Linked DNA regions of Schizosaccharomyces pombe. Changing the gene in region 1 together with any one later gene gives a genetic interaction. Each region holds a gene or a part of one and is shown on either strand. Other genes may lie near its edges. The genes, in order: SPOM_SPAC1399.02 and dbl8.

Region 1 (9,149 bases):
CCGCAAATAAGATAGCCAACCCAAACGCAAATCCATGCCTCCCACCAGTTCAAGCCAAGCTCGATAGCGGTGGCAGAAATCATCCAAGTGTTGATGTTGACAGCATCAGCTAACCAAAAAGAAATGAAGTTCCAAGGCCCCCAAAGGCGCTTGGAAGGAGGAACAGGATATAGATCCTTGTTAGTCAACATTCTCTCGGCCATAGTCATACCAGGCCTATGATCCAATATAACAAAATCCTTGACCTTTCTATAGGCATTGCTATTTCTAATTCGTGAAAAAAAAGAATTATTATCCACAGACTCCATGATTTAACAAGATTAATGTTTCAGACGATAAGAAAAAACAAACGACAAAAATGAGAAAACTTTTTTCAAGACTTTTGTAGGGAAAGAAAAGATGAGCGAAATTAATTAAGTGACTTTAAATAACAGATTGAAATATTAAACGAGCTGAGTGAATTCGTTAATGAAGGAAAAAACGTTCGTAAACAAAAAAAAAGAGCCGACAAAAAAAATGGAGGAAACCAACAAGTGCCGTAAAATATTTCACCTTTACAAATAATAGCAGTTATGTAGTATTAAAAAATCCTACAAAGGTTTGACAAAGGCCTTGCACTGTGGCTTGAGTAGAAGAAAAAGTGGAATGTTGAAATATTTTCAGAGCAATCTAAGAGGTAACAATGACCAGAGGTAACAGAAATTTCTCCACAATAAAAGTGGCGAGCAAGCGATCTTTGGAAAAAAGATGAGTGAAAAGCTGTGTGCTATTACAAAACAGATCGTTAAATGTTTTATTTTATGTCGCCTTTCAATTCCCTCAATGTTAAGCCTATAAAGTTTGCAAATATGTATTTTCTTAGGAAGAAACCTTTGTTTATATGTAGAGAAAATTTTTTATTTCGCAGCGCAATCAGAGGAGATAGAGATATCTTTCGCGTGTAAGTTTAAATCCAAAACGCTAACTAACTTAATGTGATAGAAAGCCAACCAAGAGGCTGAATTCGTAGATTGTAAGGAATATGGGTATTATCAAATGACGAAGATTAGATTACGCCGCCGTCCTTAATATAAATTAATGATAAGTATATGAACGGATGCACAATAGAGATAATTGATAAAAACTTGGCTGTGCAGCTGACCTGATTCTCAAAAGCTTTACTTGAGGTATAGATAAAGCAACGAAATAAGATATTTTCGCTAAGTCTGCAAGTACGAGAAATCGGGCGTAGGCTGATCTATGTGCAAAACGGTATGTTAACTCAAAAGCCAAAATATAGGATGATAGAGTAAACTCGTATAATCAATATGAGTCAAAAAAAAGTATGAATGGAATGCAGGGTAATGCTTTTTGAACGAACAATCAAAGAAATGAAGGAGGAAAACAGTGCGAATTGAAGTTAACAAACGAATGGAAAAGATGAATATCGACGATAAAACAAACGTGTAATGCCAAACAAAATAGAAAAAAATGAAATGTAGAAAAACTCAAGAAAAAGACAGTGTGGACTTTGGTAAAAGCTAGTGATCAATTAATTTCCGGATCCAAAAGAAACGGATAGATGCAAACAATGGTGTCGAAAGTAATGTCGACTCCTACAAGAAACTAATTAGTCGTATCAAAAATTGATTTTGATAATTGATGAACTTTGCTTAGGTTTTATAGTTAAACTAGTTTGCTTGGAATAGGTCGATAACGGGTCGTCCATTTCGTCTTTCAATATAACAAGCTATTAACTATACTTGTTTTCATTCATTTTTTTTGATAGGAAGCTCACCGCGGCAAGCCTTTTTGTAGTTTTCTGTTGATTTCGTGGTTTTGTTGTCGCATCTATTTTTTTGAGTTTAAAGTTGTCAAGATAAAAATAAGGCCAGCAGTTGAACACATCGCTTAATCTTATCAGTTAGTTTTTCACGTAAGTAAAAAGAGTTTTCGACGAAGATTCTCAAGTAGTGTTTTGGTTTTAAATTTTTCTAAAAAGAAATGATATTAGAATGCCGCGCTTCAAACGGCTTGTTCCACCAAAAAGGTATAGTCTCAGAAAGTGCGATGATTTTTTTATCCATCGTTACCTTGTTCGGGAATGCTGCTACGGTCTGCGCAGTATGAAAACAAGTGAACAACTGATCAATCAGTAAACATAAGAAATCCTTAGTTGCGCAGTTTAGAAAAGATGCAACTATAGCACCTTTTGCAAGCAAAGCAATTGAGCTAGGAAGAGATAAATGATTTTATTAAAAAATATTAAAATTAAGTAAAGAGTAATCCCTACACCGTAAACCAAAATAAAAAAGAAAGAGAGAGGGAGAAAAACTAGTAAACATTGTTTGCGACAGATCATGGCAGTAATCATGAATTTTTAACACTTTTAACTCCTTATGGCGAAAGATTTTGTTTTAACATGCAATACACTTTAGCTCCCTGCCTCTAATGCGAAATGAAGAAATGTAGTGTAAAAACAAAAAGCAGATTAATTATTTTTGTAAACTTATCGAAGAAAAAATCATTAGCATACAACAATATCAGAAAAAAATTATAACAATCAAGTTCGATCCTTGGTTAAAAAAAAAAAAACCGAAACAAACATTAAACACTAGTAATAGAAAACACAATGTTTTTACCAGTCAAACGTAGATAAAAAAAATCAAGTAAATAGACAATGACCTTATTCTGCAATGTAAAGAAAAATAAATTTAATAAACAGTTGTTTTGGGATTCTTCAACAAAAGCTTTTTAAAAAATAAGTTTCAAGGAGCATCTTTAAATCCCTTATCCTTTTCTTTGTACTCCGTGACGCTTTGAGATAATTTCTCTTGCTTTGTAAAAAACGACAGAAGCATTCCTACTCCTGCAACTGGACAATTTACAATCCAGATTGTACGAATGGCATTAGCATAGACATTGAATACAAAGTTTCTCTCGCTTACGCTGGGAATTGAAGCAATTTGAGAGTATGAAAGCCCTGTAGAATATTCCGTTCCTTTTAGAAGTGTCGTAAGTTGCTGATCATAAATTACCGCTCCTATCGATATTCCCACAGATGCACCCATATTCCTTAGCAGCATAAATGCGGAACAAGAAGTCGCCATCAAAGCAGGAGGTACAGAAGCCTGAATAGCAATAAGATTGGGTTGGAACAGGTTGCCAATTCCAACAGCTGTCAAAGCCAAGAATCCCATGGTACGTGGTATAGGTGTGTCATAGTATATTGCGATCATACTACCGGTACCAGCTAATAAAACTATCCATCCTCCAATCATTGGATATCGATAATTTTTCAATTTTCCTATTCCCATACCACTAATGGCAGAAACAACTGAAGATACAACTGCCAGAGATAAAGTATGAACACCAGACATTAACGGACCATCACCCTTGATGCTTTGAAAGTAGATTGGAATGTAATAAGTCACAGTTGACATGATATAATAATGTAAGAAGGAGGTTACCATCACAGAAGATAAAGAGAGTGTTTGAAACGCCGAGGGAGCAATAATTCTAGTGCGGGTGGTATAAAGTTCATTGACGACAAAACCGGCAATGCAAAGGATACCAAAAATTAAATAGCACAAGACATTGGCATGGGCCCAATGTCCTGTTGTAGATCCGATGTTCAAGCCAAGTAAAAATAACACAACACCAGTCGTAATGGTTACAATGCCCACAAAGTCAAAATCACGTAAAAACACGCAAAACGAAACTGTAGGCTTGGGTACAAGATTGAGGAAAAAAATCAAGAGTGCAAGCGAAAGACCACCAGTAGGTAGATTAATGAAGAAAATCCAGCGCCATGTAGTATTCTGTGAAATTGCACCTCCAATTAAAGGACCCATAACAGAAGCAACCCCCCAAGTGACTCCCATACAACCTGTGTAATAAGGTCTGGTCTGTAAAGGAGTAATGTCAGCTATAACGATTGTAACTAAAGACATAATACCCCCACCGCCGATGCCCTGCACAGCACGGCATAGTACAAGCCAAAGCATATTTTGGGCAGCACCACACATGGCACTACCGAAGAGGAAAAGAACAATGGAAGTATAGAGGACAATTTTCCTACCGACTACTTCACTCATAATACCACAAAATGGAAGGATAGATGTTTCTGCCAATGAATAAGCAGTACCAATCCACGAATACGATGAACCGCCGTCGAGATTTGCTACAATAGTGGGAATAGCCGTAGTAATGACGGTTTGATCCAAGGCAGCCAAGAAAATCGACAACATAAGTCCTGGAATAACGATGTACAATCGATTGGAGGGCAACACAAGGGTGAAATCAGGAGAATCATTTTTTTCAGACGAGATTTCATGGGTTGAAAACCGAGACTTTAGAGAACCGGCACCATAAATTTGATCTTGATTCTTGAAAGAAAAGGCTTTCGAGTTTATAGACTTTATTTCGTTTGCTTCATCAAGCGCAGTTGGATACCAAGCTACTTCACTGCCTGTGGTATAGAGTTGTAAACTCTTTGGGGAGGCCAAATTACGATTTGGAGAAGTAGAAGGATTCATTATGTTTAGTAACTTTATAACACAAATACACTAGGGAAAAAAATCCGTAAGGAAGAGGGTGAATGCAGCTAGGAGAAAAAGAGATATTGCTAGGAAAAAAAATAATATTGAAGGAAAGAATATAAATAATCAAGACAACGAATGCAATTTTAATGAAACAATTGAGTAAGTCTGTTACAATCAGAAAGGGGGGAAATTTTAACTAAATCACAGAATAAAAACACTACTTCCAGGATGCCTAGTTTTGGTTATGGTAGAGTTTTTTTTCTACTTGCCTGGAATGAGTACGTTTTGAGAAAACACATAGATAGGAAATTATAAGGAAGGAAAATTGACGCGGCTTTAAGTGCACATATTCTTAGTTTAAAAATAAGAAAATATGCACATTAGGCCAAGTAATTACCGAGTAAGCATTTTCATGTAGAAAATTTGAATACGATCTTTAGAGGCAATATTTATACAGGATTTTTCTAACGATGGAGCAAAGGGAGAGCAAAAAAAAAAAAGCCGCGCTAATATCCGGAAAATAGGGACACTGAAATAAGGAGGTTCGTCGAGAAAAGTCTACAGAGTGTCTATGCATAAGAAAATGAAGGGAAGTCGAAAAAAGCAGGCATTTAAAAACGACGAGAAAATGAATGAAGAGTATTCCTTTTTGAGTGAGCAAAAACGATAATGCCGTGAAGAAATGAGCAAATTTACCAAGATAAGAGGATATCGGGATAGTTGATTAATATTGATATAGATGTAATGACAGCAATGTATAGTATTATAAATTTGTAATCTTTTAAAATGTGAGGAATGTAGAAATAATCGTAAACATGTATGATATTATAAAGGGAAAATAGGGGATCGGAGTAAACAAGTAAGTGAATGAAGAGAGAGAGGGTTGACAAAATATTGCATATCAATGGAATGGTTAAGCAAACATTGAAATGAGTAAGTAAGCAATGAAATGATTAAGAAAAGTTTTAATGAGTCAAAAGAATGTTTGTGGATCAACAAGGTGCTTTTGAGGGTCGATAAAGTGCTCCTTTTAAGGATTTTGTAACAATATTACAATAACGCTTCTATATGTCTTTAGTTGTACGTCTTACAAAATCTACAGCAACGATTTTTTTTATGGATTGAAAAGTGTGCGTATGTACAGGCCTGTAATACAACTCTTTTTTTCAAAGAATTGCAATGTTTATTGTACATTTGACTTTTTAGTCTGACTGGCTGAAACAGCATGTCGGAATTGTTAATGGCCTTTACCTACTATTTCCCACTTTAGCGATGCTTTATTATACACTATCCTAAGATACCGAGCAAGATGCAGAAATGCAGAATTCCCTGATTAGAAGAAAGAGAAGTGATGTTTTTAAAAAAAAAAGTGAATTCTACTCACAAACCTTTTTTTTTTTTTTTTGGGGGTTGTAAGACTGTAGCATCATATTATTTGGAAAGATTTCATCACTCACACGGTAAGGAAGGAAGGAAGAAGGGAGGTGGGTATAGCGGAAGTAGCCACCTGCACACTTGGACGAAAGGGGATTGAGTGAGGAAAGGCCCGAATTTTCGAAGGTTTGGAATTTGTCGAATGTGCAGAGGAAAAGTGCAGCTGAATAAGCAAGGTGAATCTAGGAAGGTGGGCTAGAAGAAAGTGAAAACTAAGCAAGTGTTTTGGGTATTTAGTTTTACAAAGCAAGCTGGAGAGGTTTAGAGAGGCAGTAGGTAACTCAATAATAATGCGACCGGGGGGAGGGAGGATTAAAAAAGATGGATATAATAATTTTTACTCATTTTGCGGTTCTTTTGCATATAAAGAACTTTAAACACCACGCTGTGAAAGACGAGTGACATTGATAACTGGAGTGAATGGGATTGCATCGGTCTTTAATAGATATTACGTTTTAAAGCACTACAAGCACTAGTCAAAGTTGACCATTACTGACAAGTAGCGTAGATAAACAACGTAGGTGGGAAGGGCACACTAGAGCGTATATAAGGAGAAAGAACGCATGTAAACGTTAAAGGGATATAGTGTGATGCGCTGCACAAACATTGATTAATTTATCCAACCAAAAACCACGCATGGTAGAGCGATTTGTTTACATTTCAAGGAAGCGCTCGAATGGATTGATTTTTGATATTTGAATTATGAAACAAAAGGATCGGTTGTTTGATGAGAGTAAGATTCCGTGATTGAGGAGGTTTCTAGCTTTTCTAAGTATGGTAAACCAGCAATTCCCACTTTGCATATCCTTCGTTGGTCGGAAAGAGTGGGTGAGGGTGCCTTTTTCGTTTACGTGTGAGCGATAGATAGGGGAACGAAAGTTCGCGGACTTTTTTGTCAGCAAGTCTCGATAAGATAGCGCAGTGCAGTGTAGGCGGTATGGTGGAAGGGAGGAAGAGTGTGTGTGAGAGAGAGAGAGAGACGGTATGAGAGAAGGATGGAAAAAATGGAGCAGGGAAAGCAGAAACATCGTTCGATTTGAAACAAAAGGAAAAGTATAAAGAGAGAAGAAAGTAGGAAAGTAATGAGAGTAAGAGCAGTAATAGTAACATAGGTATTGCTGGATACAATGGGATACAATGGGTAGAATGTTGATATTGTAGATGTAACTATATGTGTAAGTGTAGCTTGTCGCATAGCAAGTATAGTAAGCAGGCTGACAGAAACACAGACAGATAAATACACAAATAGACACAAAGACTATCCATCTACATCGTTTCCAACTTCAACTTCTGCAACTGCAACTCCCACTTCAATTTCAATCTCATTTTCATAATCGTTTTCTTGCATCGCCTTTGCCTTTCCCCAATCTCCCTCTCTCTTTACCCTCCTCTACCATCTTTTTCGTCGCAAAAATCCTTACTCACACACTCTCTTTCCGCCTCTTTATTTCTCCCTCCGCCTCTTTATTTCTATCAACGCTCTCGGCCCTCTATTATCGCTCTCGTCCTAAAGCGATTGACTAAGCTAAAAGTACTTTGTTCATCCACTCTATCTAGCCTGTCCAATCCGTGCTATATCTACCCCGACAACCTCCCTGACTTGTCGTTTCTTCTTTTACGCATCGCCCAATGCCTGTAAGCTGCGTCAACGATGATTAGATAGTTTTGTGTTGGACGAAAGCGCCAAACGAATCGGATTGGTTTGAGGTACAAGGCGATGAATGCTGAGTGGTGGATTCGGCTGCGAATACAAAGACAAAACAAAATCGGCGTTTGCTCATTGATAATCAATGCTCCTATGGGTGGTGAGTGATGTGAGATGTTGGAATGGGCAAATCGCATTTGTTCACCCCTGCTTTTCCTAAGATTAGTTACTAAGTATGTATTAAAATTTCCTTGTATAGCGGACTTGCCAAAATGTAATCGCCGCTATTCTGGAAAAGAAAGTAGTTCTTGAGAGTGTTGAATTTGTATTTAATAAGGCTTATTGACACGATTTCATTCCAACGAATTGCGCTTCACAAGCAAAGCAAAGCAAAGGCAACAGCAAAAGCGAAAACAAAAACAAAAAAGTAAATCCAAGTCAAGTCGAGTCCAGTAAAGAGTATTGTATCCTTTAGGTATAATACCCTTGTTTAATTACAATTTTCACTTGTTTAATTACACTCTTCACTTGTTTAATTACACTCTTCACTTGTTTAATTACACTTCTTCCTCTATCAAGTTAGTGTTTCGATTGCTTTCATCTGAATTGTTTGGTAGGTAAAAACAACGCCTATTTTTTTTTTGTCGCACCATCCAAATTACTTTGTATCAATCCCATCACTCCTCGCAGTGCTTTGTCTCGCTTTTACAGTAGGATTTTTGCGTTGTACCATATACTTCACGAAATTTTGCGCTTCATTAAATTGTCTCTCTCTCTATTGACTCTTTGTGTGTGTGTCTAGCATTTTCTGACTACTTGTAGTTGTTATCCTTTGCTATCGCGCTCTATCTAATCAGCTCATTTTTATTTATTTACATCCATCACTCCTTGTTGCAAGGTTAGAGATTTGACTAGTTCCATCCTTCTTCTTAATCACTGAAGTCATTTTTGTACTTGTCATTCATTCCAACTTGTTTATCTCAAGTCATTCATTTATTATCCTCCCTATAAATTGACTAGGTTGTTCCCCCCTTAACAATTCACTCATTCTTAAAACAACCCAAAGTTACTATAGTAGCGTATCCTTGACATAATCTAAATTGATTGCGTCGAAAAAAGAAAACACTAAAAGAGCACCTTGTCGTTTTTTTTGCCTTACACCAAAAAAAAAACTCTTTGTATATCTCTGAAAGAAAAAGTTTTGAAGCAAACCTTTTATTTCTTCACTTTTTTTTTACTTACTCTGTATTCTTTTATTCTCTCAACTCTGCCTTTTCATTAAGCGCTGTCGATAGCATACCCTCTTTGCCATATCGCTTCGTTTCACCTTGTCTACTCTTCTTCTACTAAAGGAAATAAAGTTTTTTAATTTTTAATTTGCTCTTTTCCTTTCTCTTTATTTAATTGGCTTATTGTTCGATTCCTCTTTTGTTCAATTGTGGATTTCTTGGGGTTTCTTATTTACTAGCTGATTGTTCTTTGGTAGTTTTAGAGGTAATTGTTTTTTTCCTGTACGAACTTTTCTTAAAGTTTGTTGCGTTGAGATT
Region 2 (12,086 bases), on another chromosome or scaffold:
TGCTGAAGAAACCAGCACCATCGTTGATCCCTTAGCCGAGGTCAATTACAAGAACTGTACCGAAGATGCTAAGATCATTTCCAACTTGGGCGCTAACGTTATTCGTGTCTATGCCGTCAACGCTAGCTTGAACCATGACAAATGTATGGAGGCTTTCCGTAACGAAAGCATCTACGTCTTTTTGGATCTTGCCAACCCCAAGACCGGTATCGATCGTGATACCCCTACATGGAACACCGATCAATTCTCATCCTATCAATCTGTTATTGATACTTTCCAAAAGTACAACAACACTGGTGCCTTCTTTGCCGGTAACGAAGTTGTCAACAATGCCTCGAATGCTCCCGCTGTCGCTTACGTTCGTGCTGCCGTTCGTGATTCCAAGAACTACATTAAATCTAAGAAGTATCGTACGATCCCTGTCGGTTATGCTGGTGCCGATATTCCCGTCGTTCGTACTGAACTCGCCGCTTATTTGTCTTGCAATGCTACCAAGCTGAACAATGACACCAACTCTGAGACCGATTTCTTGGGTTACAACATGTACGAGTGGTGCGGTCATTCTGACTTCTACACTTCTGGTTATGCTGCCCGTACTCAAGAGCTTGAGAACTTTACTATTCCTATCTTCCTTTCCGAGTTTGGTTGCAACAAGGTCACTCCTCGTGTTTTCACTGAAGTCCAAGCCATCTATTCTGATAACATGACCAATGTTTGGAGCGGTGGTATTGTCTACGAATATTCTCAAGAGGTTAACGACTATGGTCTTGTTAACGTTTCTTCCACTGGTGAGCGTGTCTTGACTACTGACTATAACAACTTGAAGAAGCAATGGGCTTCCATTAGCCCCAACATTACCTATAAGCACTCCTACAATCCCAACGGTACTATTCCTGAATGTCCATCCAGAAACAAGACCAGCTGGGCTGTCAGTGCTAATGCTTTCCCAGTAACTCCCAACACTACGATTTGCTCCAATGCCGTTAAGAATCTCAAGTGTTCAGCAAATGGAACTCCTTCCGGTAGCAAGATCTCTCAGGTCTTGAGCGAACTTTGCTACTACGATAACAAGGCCTGTTCTTCTATTAGCAGCGATCCTTATGAGGGTACCTATGGTAACTACACTGGTTGCACTGGTGTCCAACAACTTAGCATTGCTCTTAACGCTTACACTCAGGATCATGGTGCCGATTCTTGTAGCTGGGGTGGTGTTGGTGAGCTTAAGGCATAATTTCCTCATTAATCCTTATTCAATTTTTTCATTTCTCAAATAATTTTAAACCTCAAAATTGAGCCTCATTGAAACTTATCTAACATTTTTCCAATAACATCCTTTGACAATTTTATTAGTCACATACCATTCTTGCATATAATCCATGAGTTTGTAATCAGCCACCTGTACTATTGTAATCTCCATAGGGTTTATATAACCTTTGAATATTTTAGAAGATTATTCGCTTCAATTCAATCAACTGCAATATTTATTTAGGTCAAGAAAACTACCGTGAATTGGAAGAACATTTTGCCATCGCTGTATATCCGAGTGTTTTGTTCTCATAACGTAGTAAACAAATAGTAGAGCAGTGTCGTATGAATCTTTTCCTGCTTCATGTGGGCGTTTTCTGCTCATCATTGACTTATATGGACATTCAATCAGCGAATTTAAAGAAACATTTGACCTTTGAGATGAGGAGTTAGAAGGTACTGGCGGTAGAGATATCTTTGAAACTAAGGAAAGTAAGTCCGTTGGTATCCCATCTGATACATGTTGAAGATCATCGGATTTCAAGTAGAGAAGTTTAGTGTCATATATAGATTTGAAAGATGATAAACAAAGCTCAGAAAACTCTAATATCGTTTCCGGGACTTTTCCTTCAAAAAGGGAAAACAAATACACCAAATCTGCCATGCCATTGTGACAAACTACTGACTTTTTTTTCTTAAGTATATAGTCCCATAAATGTCGCAACCCAACATTCTGTTTGATCAAATTTAGATTGTTAAGTATTAATTGGTCGCTCGCAATATCTTCTTTGAGTTCGCTTTTTGAAGTGGCAGAGCATTGAGTTGTCGAATTTTCAATAGCCTTCCGAACCTGCAGAAATGTTCTTTTGGGGTAACTCTTTAAAGTTGGAAATTCAATTTTAACCAGGGATTGTATTGCTTTTCTTATAAAACGATTAGAGGTAGTAATGTTCAAGTATTTTGAAGTGGAATGTGACAACTCGCTCGATAACCAATTCTTAATTTGATTTCTTGCGTCAACAAGAATTTCTTCATCGCAAGCATCTAAAATTGAGCTGGTCAAGTCGTCAGTTGATCTTTCATTAACCTTGTCGATCAAATTTCTTTCTTCAATCCGTGATAAGTATGGTACACCCTCTGTCAGTTGTTTATTAAAATCAAAACCTTGTTGTATCAGAAACTTAATACTGCTAGCCTCCGAGCAGAAGTCTCTCTTAAGGTGCAATTCATCTTTAACTAGAGGACTTACGTTAATATTTACGGGAATACACGAAGATTTTCCATTGTTTTGCAAATAAATAAAGGTTATACCAATTTGTAAAATTGTGTATCGTATACTACTTTTTCTCAGTAACTCATATCTGTCTTGTAAAGTATTTTTGTTGTTAAGGTTGAAGTCTCTTAATAATCCGGAAAATTCACAATCAATGGAAACATAGTGTGCTGAATCTACGTGTTTCTCCAATTCTTTTAATGTCTCTAAAAAGTTTTTGCCATGTATCTCCATCTATAGATTCAATGTATTTTGTAGAACTCAATTGAACATGCACTGATAATATGCTAATTTATAGCATATTTTGGAAGCTAATTAATAATGAAATTGTGAGTATGAGCTAATACAAGTTTGATATAATCCTAACACAAACATATAGAATATACTGGTGCATTTGTCCTGTTTATATATACCATTGAGTAAAAATTAATATAGTGTTGTTGTAAGCAAAATCATTTTTAGATAGGAGAAATATTAATAAATAAACTATGTCTAAGATTCAAATGATTGAAAACGTCCCGCTACTCGTGTTATTAAAAAAGTAATACTGTAAAATACTCATACTAAAACCTAAATCGGCTACTTCCTTTTGAAATGCTCAACTTTTGGAGGTGCAAAACCGTGGGCCATCGCCGCCAGAGCAAGTTTCGATTTGGGCTTTTTTGATTTTTTCATATGGCCTTTATCTTTATTTTTTTCCACATAACCCGGCTTTTTGGAAGACGCTTGTTCAATTTCAGATTCGTCTATTTTGTTTAACACATCTTGCTTGGAACTGGATGATTCATCAAGGCGTGGTTTCGTGACCTTATTATCAGCAGCAGTCTGATCAGTGGAAACTTTGTTCTTAGCGCGCTTATTCGGTATATCTTCATCTCTCTCAGTTCCTCTTGACAAATTAGCACTATCTATATTGTGCCGTTTTTTGACTTTATGTGCTTCTTGTTTTTCCTCACAGATACCAACCGACGGCGACTTAATTGGGGTATCCCGTGAGGCTAAATTTAAATTGTTAGATGCGAGGTGTGTCGAAACGTTTGATATACTTTTTGAGTTCTTAAATTGATTAGCACTCAAGTCTCTCCAAACACCACGAGTTTTTGCGTCTTCAATCAAGCTATAAAAAATATCCTCTTGCATTAGCGGTTTAGAATTGCCTACGATATACAAAGATGATTTAGCTCTTGTTAAAGCTACATTAAGCCGACGAAGATCTTGAAGGAAACCGATTCCACCGCTCATCGAACTCCTAACGCAAGAAAAAATTATAATGTCCTTTTCCTGTCCCTGAAACCCATCGACGGTATGAATATCAAGATGCTTGAATATAATGGAACCATACTTTCTTTGAAATTGTGATCGAAGCTGTTGTACTTGACTTCTATAAGGGGTAACAACTCCAATTTTCCCCTCAAAATCAATGTTTAGATAACATTGAATTAGCCTCTCATATAATAATAAAATAAACGAAGCCTCTTCCACATTGTACAGAGACTTTGAGTTGGAAAAAGCTTCCGTCCCGTGAACATTAAAAAATCGATAAATACCTAGCTGCGGATCCTCGTGCCAAGGTCGAGATGTCACTGCTGACATATTGGGACCGTCAAGTAGTTTTGAATTATAGAAAAACTTGCTGGGAAATCGGCTAATTTCAGGATTCATTCTATACTGTATGCTAAGAAGACAAGCGCTCTCATTATGCTGTTTGAACATTCTGACATATAGAGATTGTGAATATCCAAACTTTGCAGAGGTTTTTGATAGCACAGTAGGAGGAAGCTGATTCGGATCACCAACCATTACACAGCTCTCACAGCCATACTTAAGAGGTATGATTGAACTTAATTCAACGGCTTGTGCAGCTTCATCAATTATGACAGTTCGAAAAGTCAAACCCGCATTTAAAAGTAGTTCATGACCACTCGCAGATAAGGTAGCACATACAATATCAGCTTCCTGAAGTAGTTGATTTTGTATTTGTTTTTTCAAAACATCCAGATTACGATTAGTTGAGCGTTGACGTTCTCTCATATCATCAAGGCTCTGTTCAAGCATGTTTTTCTGTTTGGTAATCTCACGAAGCTGTGCTTCCAATATTGAACTATTTTTTCCAGTACTACGAAACTTTTCTAGATCTTCGCGTAAAGAGTCCCTTTTTTTAATAATTGAGTCATATTTTTTCCGAGTATCACTGGAATTGTTTGCTTCTTGATCTTTCTTTAGGTTCGTAAGTTCCATTTGCTTTATCATTTGCTCTTCCAAAGTAAATTCTTTAGCGTGAACGCTTATGGAGTCACCAAATCCAACACGAATAACTTTTGGAAAAAATTTGATACCCTCATGATCGTAAACACCGGCTTTGATACGAAGGAGAATTTCATCTATGGCTGCATTACTAGGAGCGCATATTAAAATCTTATTCTTTGAGGTTTTTCGCGTCTGTCCTGGGACATTAAATTGCAACCCTTGACTAGAAGAAGTAAGTACAGCTCCAATCATGCCTAGAATGGTTTTAGTTTTTCCAGTTCCAGGAGGCCCTTGAATGAGCGTAAAACCATCATTTACAGAAGATGCATAAATCGCATATGCCTGGGGTTCATTTACACCATAAGACTTCATTATTTTTTGCTTTTTGTCATCTGTAAAATTTGAAGGTAGACGCGTTACATTGGCATCCAGAATTCTCTGAGACAATGGTAAATGGCGAAGAGATTTTAAAGCAGCAAATTCACGTAAGCTAGTAGTAGCATTAAATAATTTTTGTGCTGTGAACCTAATGTTCGGTGCATACTCCTGTAGATCAATTGATTCAATATTCATCCGCAGACAGAGTTCAAGTGATTCTTTTTTACGAGAAATGGATTGAATTTTGCACAACTGAAAAGATTTTGGGTTATTAGTATCGCCCGAACTTTGTGATTTTGACAGTAAGCAAATATCTGTATCACTTAAAAAAGAGACTTCGGTAGGTGAACAGGACGTAAAGTAAATATCGACAAAGTTATCAACTGTACTGCGGGTGTTGAGGATTAAATCTATGGGAGGGTATTGCTTTTCTTCAACGGCACTTTTCACTTGAGCCCAACATTCATGAAACAACATTGGTTTGAAAACTTTCTCATAAGCGTTTGAATCATTATACGTGAATTTAGCTTGGACGCACTGCATCTCAACATTAGACGCCGAAAAAGAATCAGCTAATGGGTTCCAACCCAAAATTACTTTGTAAAACTCTTGAACATCAGGGTTTAGCCGGAGTCGAGCAAGTTGTGCACTTTGTTGAGTATTACGGCGCAATTGAGTAGGATGAACTACATTTTTTGTTTTAAGGGAATCAAAGTCCAAGAACTGAATCTGCCTTCTTTGTGGAAGAGATTTAGAGGCATGAGAATTAGCTTCACGTGCAAGCGAGAATAGACCGTTACTAGACTCTTCTTCGGACTCCGAGGTATCTTCATCGGAAGTTGAAGTATTTTTGTCATCTGGATTAGAATAACTTTTAGAAGTGTGCAAAAGTGAAGGCTTGCGAATTGGGTCAGCAGAATCGAGCTTTTGCAAAGCTTTTGGTATATGATTATCCGAATTAAGTTTCTCAGAAAGATGGTTCCCCGCACTGGTTCTTGGAACTTTCGCGGATTCGCGAATTCGCTGTGTTGTCTCTTGTTTAGATTTCAAAAAATTTAAATTTTGAGATTTTTGAGCATTTCTATTGATGGCTTTAGAAGCAGAAATAGCCTTCGGAGGAAGCAAAAAATGATTTGAAGTACTAATGTTTGACTCAGGTAATTTTTTCGCAATCCCAATAGTCTGGTCTTTAGAAAGCAAACCCCGATCATCACTCTGTAACTTAGTTTCAAGCGTATTGGTATCATTGAAAGGAGAGTGATTAAGAACGTCTTCTGAAAGGTATGGTGTGAGCGATATAAAAAGATCCTCTCTCTCAGTGAATGTAAGAATTGTTTGTTCATCACTGGTAATTGATGCCCTATGGATAATATCAATCACATTTTGACTAATTGGACACTCCAACTTTTTACAAATTTTAAGCATTTTACAAATCACTTTCACAACGGATGTTAGAAGTGAAGAATCAGTTAACTTAAGCCAATAAGATACAGTAACCAAAGAATCAGCTATACACATAGCTAAAGCACTGCCCTTATCATTAGCCGAAACAATTTTAATATCGTTATCCGATAATCCAAAAATGAATCCGTTAACTTCCTCAAAAATATTAATGAGCATATCGCAAAAATCAAGGGTATCCCGCATTAAATCAACTAAATTGTCCTTATCATGAACTGGCCAAGTAGGAAGAACAATGAAAAAATGAGTAAAGAATTTCCATAACGATTCCCAGAAATTCTTAAGGGATTCTTTCTTTTCCACTTGTTTTGCAAAAGTCGCATCCTTAGAAGTTAAGCCATCAACAGAGTCAAAAATAGTGTTTATAATTAATTTATTAAAATAAACAATGTGCTTGGCTCCTCCAAAGTTTCTGACTTTAAGCCACTGCAGAAGAACATAACATGAAGAATTTAGTGTATTTGAAAACTGGCTTCTCAATAGCTCTCCTATAGTATCAACAACGCTGTCAGAAAGCGAAATAGATTTAATAATTGAGATACTTCCTGTTGAGATCTCAAGAATTGGAGAAAAAACGAGTGAAAAGATTCCACGAAAAGTTAAAGGATTTGAAACCAATTGGGTTTGTGCCGACAAATGCCAACATTGAGTCTGAATAAGCATTTCAGAAAATGTTGCAACAAATCCGTTTAGTGCATTTTCGAAATCACTTTTGAACGGAATGTCAACTTTCTTAGGCGGCAACTTATCAATCAAGCAAACTGTAGAGCAAGCACGAAAAACAATACGAACCATAAAGAACTTCTCCTCTCGAAATACGTTTTGCAAATATACCCAAAAATTTTTAAAAGACTCACTTACCGATTTGATATTCAAGGGTGGCTTTCTATTTCTGTCCAAATAATGGCAATAGAATTGCTTCAAAATATAAAGATCTAAATTCAATCGGTATTCAAAAACTTTCTTAATAAGCCTCCATTCAACAGACTCTTCATTTTCCAAGTTTAGCAAACGAAACAGCTCGTCAAACTTAATCGCTAAAGTGGAATGTAATTCAAATACTTTGTTTTGTAAACTTTGATCACTATGGGGGAAAATCATAAAATATTCGGAAAACAAAACTGAAAATATGTCAGCAAGTGATTGAAGTAACTGAACATTTTTGAAACCGACTTCCAGTTCCTTTTTATATTGCATGGTGTAATTAATCAAAATTTTGTTAATTAATTCAACTTCATCAATGATTGAAATTGTCTTCAAAAGAGAGGTAGCCCATTCAAACGGATTCTCTGCCTTTTGGTCGTTTGAAAAATTGGATGTATTTTCTTCTGTCCACCTCTTATAAGCATTACCATTAAAAATTTTATCTATTACTTCACTGGGAGAAATTTCTGGCGTCCAAAAATTACGTCCATAGCAGTATAACAAAGAATGTAAACATACAAGGAAAGACGGACATAAATTAGTATGGTCGCTTTGCAATCCCGAAAGAATAAAATCGGCGACATTGAAATTTTTTCCTGTAAGTCCCCTAAAATAAAGATGATCAACATGCTTTAACAGCAACGATAAACCTTTCAGAAAAATTTGCATCTCGTTCTCATTTTCTTTCTTCTGGTCTAAAGAACGAATTTCCTGAAGAAGGGGACCCTCAAGGATTTTAAATTCATTATCGGAGATTGTTTTTACATCACTTAAAATACTGCAAGCCCATCTTCGGAGCTCATCATCTCTCGAGAAGAGAAGACTTATGACACCTGGCACTAGGTTTTTCGAGAGCCGAAGAAAACCGGACTCAAGAAATCTGTTTCGGAACAAGGGAAAGATTTCTTTATTATGTAAAATACGAGGAGAGTATAAGATTTCGTAGAAGGCGCATAGTATAGGTTTAGAGGCCGAGGACGTGTCGATTTTAGGCACTGTTTTGAGAACTTCCTGTAACCGAAAAATGTCCCAACTATAAATTTTCTCCATTACAATCTCAAGAGTATTTGGGTCAAAGTGAAAAATGTTTAAACATAGACTTTTGAAATCATCTAAAGATTGGTGATATTTAACTATACATTTGGGGCATAACTGAAGGCGTTCGTTCAAATGTTTTTTGAACCATACCAGATACTCGTTATCATTTTGAAAAGAAAATAGAAAAAGACATTCACGAACTGCTACTTGTAATTTAGGATCACAAACCCAATGAGGGTTTTGTCTGTTAGTATTTAGGTATGAAAGCGCCAAATGCAAAACTTTATTGGACCCTTCGAAAGATGGGTGTTTTTGATTTTCCTGAATTTTTCTTATTAATCTATCAAAAGCCTCGTCATTTTCCATAACCACAAGCTAATGCTGCATTCTCACTCTCGAAGTAGACTTATTAAAGCGCGACTGCAATTTTTCAAAATCTAGGTTTCTAAGGAAGTAAATTACACTATTCACTATAAACATTTAGTGCAACCAATCATTTGATGTCCACACAGCACTCGATTATCGCATTGAAATAAAATAGCCTTAAGAGAAATTTTAAATAAAAAAATGAACGTATATTTTGAAAGTGTATATAAATTCATGTACCAAAATCACGCTTCTTTATTGTAATTAAGATATATATGATTATCCGAAATATATTTTAAACATTACTATATATAATGTGACAACTTAAAAAACTTTCTTACCCATTATAATCCGAAGTTTGTGATTGTGTGTTTAATTCCTAGTTTCAAATATGACTATTTTCTTCACTGAGCAAAGAATCACAGTTCATTTTATTCAGTATATTTAAAAATTTTGCAGTAACATGATATATTCGTTTCATATATTTCCTTTGTAAGGATTTAATTCGCATGCAATCTTTGCGTCAACATACAAGCTTAAATCATTTTTGCTAGTTCTTTGTGATATTCATACATTAATAAAATAGACGTCAAGGAATAATCAATCCTTGTTTTGAATAAAAATTTTCTTTTAAACTTTTAAGCTGTTCACGAATTGACCTGCAACAAAGAAAAAAAAAATATTGATCAATCATATAACTTTTCTATATGACTTTGTCTCTCAAATGAATCAAATAACCATAAACAAAGCCGAAAACCAACTGGATGTGAAATTTTTAAAGAAAATATTCAGTCAAAATTACTGATTACCATTTTTCTCAAAAAGCAAACGTGCGAGGCGCTTATAGTCAGAAAGAAGAAGTTCAATTTCACCGATTTTAAGATCGCTAGCATCAGAAACAGTCAAAAAGCGTTCCAAAGGTGGGTCGCCCACGAATTCTACAGAATTGGAAGAATCTTCTGAACTTTTGGCAGTGTGATTGGCTACTTTACTAAGTAGAGAGGCATAAGATTTCTCAAGTGCTAGTCCCAGATTTCTTAAATTAGATAAAGATGAGCGATTCACAGGGTAGGGTTCTGCACTCGGATCATGAAGCGAGTTAGAGGTCGAAACTGTTTCGCTATTAGCTACCTCAAGTGAAAGAGGATCATCAGAGGGTTGAATTGACGATTGAGTTAAAAGATTTGGACAAGCTCGAAGAATAAAAGTAAGGGCTGCCTCAAAAGTTGTGAGACAGTATCTTTGCTCTCCGCTTAAAAAATCTGCATTTCGAAAGCGTAACACAAAATTCAGGTGCGATATTAAATGAAATCCGGGATAACAGAGAATGCAATATATGGTCAAATTTAATAAAGAATCAGCATTCAATTCTTCTTGAGGAAGTTGAGAGGCATTCAATATACTTGAATTAACGGTCATAAAAGTGTTTATTTTCGATCTAGGTGTGTGTTGCTCATCGAGAGCAAAAAATGCTTCAGAGACTTCATGTAACCGGTTTGTAAGTTTTTCATCATCAGGTATTGGAATGCAATTGATAAGTTCTTTCTTTTCTTCAGAAGCAATAAATTTTTTTAACAAGTCATCTTTGGCAGCATCCGTACTTGTAGATAAACAGAAAATCCTAACACAATATTAGTAAACAGTTATTGTAGGCGAAGTAATCACATACCGATCATACAAATATTCGCAAACTATATCTTCAATTTGGTCCATCCATTCATCTTTTTGGTTCAGCAAGTGTTGTCTCGCCTTTTTCTGAGCATCTATTTCCTCAGGAAACAAAAGAGGCACATTTTGATCTTTTGAAGAGGGTTGAGGGATAAGGGTTGAAGCAATAAACTCATCGGTATGCTTGTAAAAGTTTTGAAATGCTTTTGCTAGTTCTTCAGGCGAAAGCAATTGAGGGTGAACCGGACTAACTAGAGAAGAGATAAACTGTATCACACATGCTTGTACAGTAGTTGGAAGATTTGATGCAGAATTTGGGAGTTTGATGTCTTCTTCCTTAGGCTTATTTGTATATTTAACAGCTCTCCAAGAATTCAGAAAGCTCATCGAAAGGAACTTTTACGAAAGGTGATCAAAAAGTTTAATTTTCAAAAATAAAATTAAACGAAAAAAAATTCTATATATACATGTAACTAAGAATATGTTAGCATAGGGTCTAATTCAAATTTTCAAATTTATATCAGATAGGATAAACAGCAATCGAAGGAACCGAGTACGAAGTATTCGTTGAGAGTCAAAAATATAACAATATATCCCTAATAGAAAATATACATCGTTTTAAAGCTATAAATGCTAGCAATTCCTTCTTTACCTTTGTCGTATGACAAGTTTTCAAGTAATTGTCAAAATATAGAGACACGAATTAAAAAAATAAGAACGTTGATTAAGAACTTGATATAAAATGAAATAATAATCAGAGGTAATGCTTACTTGACTTTAACTTATAAACCCTTCAAAATAGAGGAACAGTGCTGGTAGAACCAAAATTGATATGCATTCATGTTTCGGCATAATAATAGCGTATACTCGTTAAGAAACCGTATACTGTAAATGTAAATAATAGGATGAGTAAATTTAAGTGCTAAAAAAAATAATTTAGAATTATAGATTCATTAATTCCTTTAACAATTAAGATGATCGGAATGTTAGTTTGTACGTTATTTGTATCGAAGATGAAGTTTAATACTTATATAGATTACAATAAACTAATCAATACTTGAAAGCAATTGTTCACTGTACGATATTGTTGAATAATTTGGCAAGAATAAGCATTTAATTTGATGATATATTTTACTTTTTCAAACTTCATGAAATACACATCGAAGTCCATAACAATTGTCATGATATAATATTGTAATTGAAGAGTATGATCAATTTACATCGGTTGACTTTGTTTCTCTTTTTAATGAGTTATCACTGTTAAGAATGCCATCATGTCATAAAAAGGATTTATGGTGTATTATGCAGTGTCTATACCATTCAATATACCCTTAGCCTGCATCAAGGCATTTAAGGAAATAAATAGTAGCAGATTTCCAATTAAGAACTTTTATTTTCTATTTTAGTGATAAAAATTCAGTTACATACCAACGTTTGACGCCGTTTGTTCAGTGTTATCAATACACCTTTGTAAATACACTGATAA

Evidence for each region.
Region 2: mutations in SPOM_SPAC1399.02 (region 1) and dbl8 together harm fitness more than expected from each alone (negative genetic interaction), as found in Schizosaccharomyces pombe (one large-scale study listed by BioGRID).

What each region holds. Positions count from the first base shown.
Region 1 is NC_003424.3:1,843,374-1,852,522, forward strand, and holds SPOM_SPAC1399.02 (transporter), read right to left. Parts: upstream 4,773-9,149; 5' UTR 4,518-4,772; coding exon 2,748-4,517; 3' UTR 2,275-2,747; downstream 1-2,274. Other genes in the region: fur4 (plasma membrane uracil transmembrane transporter), read right to left, coding at 1-308; SPOM_SPAC1399.06 (uncharacterized protein), read right to left, coding at 6,611-6,985.
Region 2 is NC_003423.3:2,554,196-2,566,281, forward strand, and holds dbl8 (ATP-dependent RNA helicase Dbl8), read right to left. Parts: upstream 8,975-12,086; 5' UTR 8,933-8,974; coding exon 3,098-8,932; 3' UTR 2,955-3,097; downstream 1-2,954. Other genes in the region: 1,3-beta-glucanosyltransferase Gas2, read left to right, coding at 1-1,231; tri1 (CAF1 family ribonuclease), read right to left, coding at 1,469-2,752; guanyl-nucleotide exchange factor Muk1, read right to left, coding at 9,731-10,553, 10,602-10,987.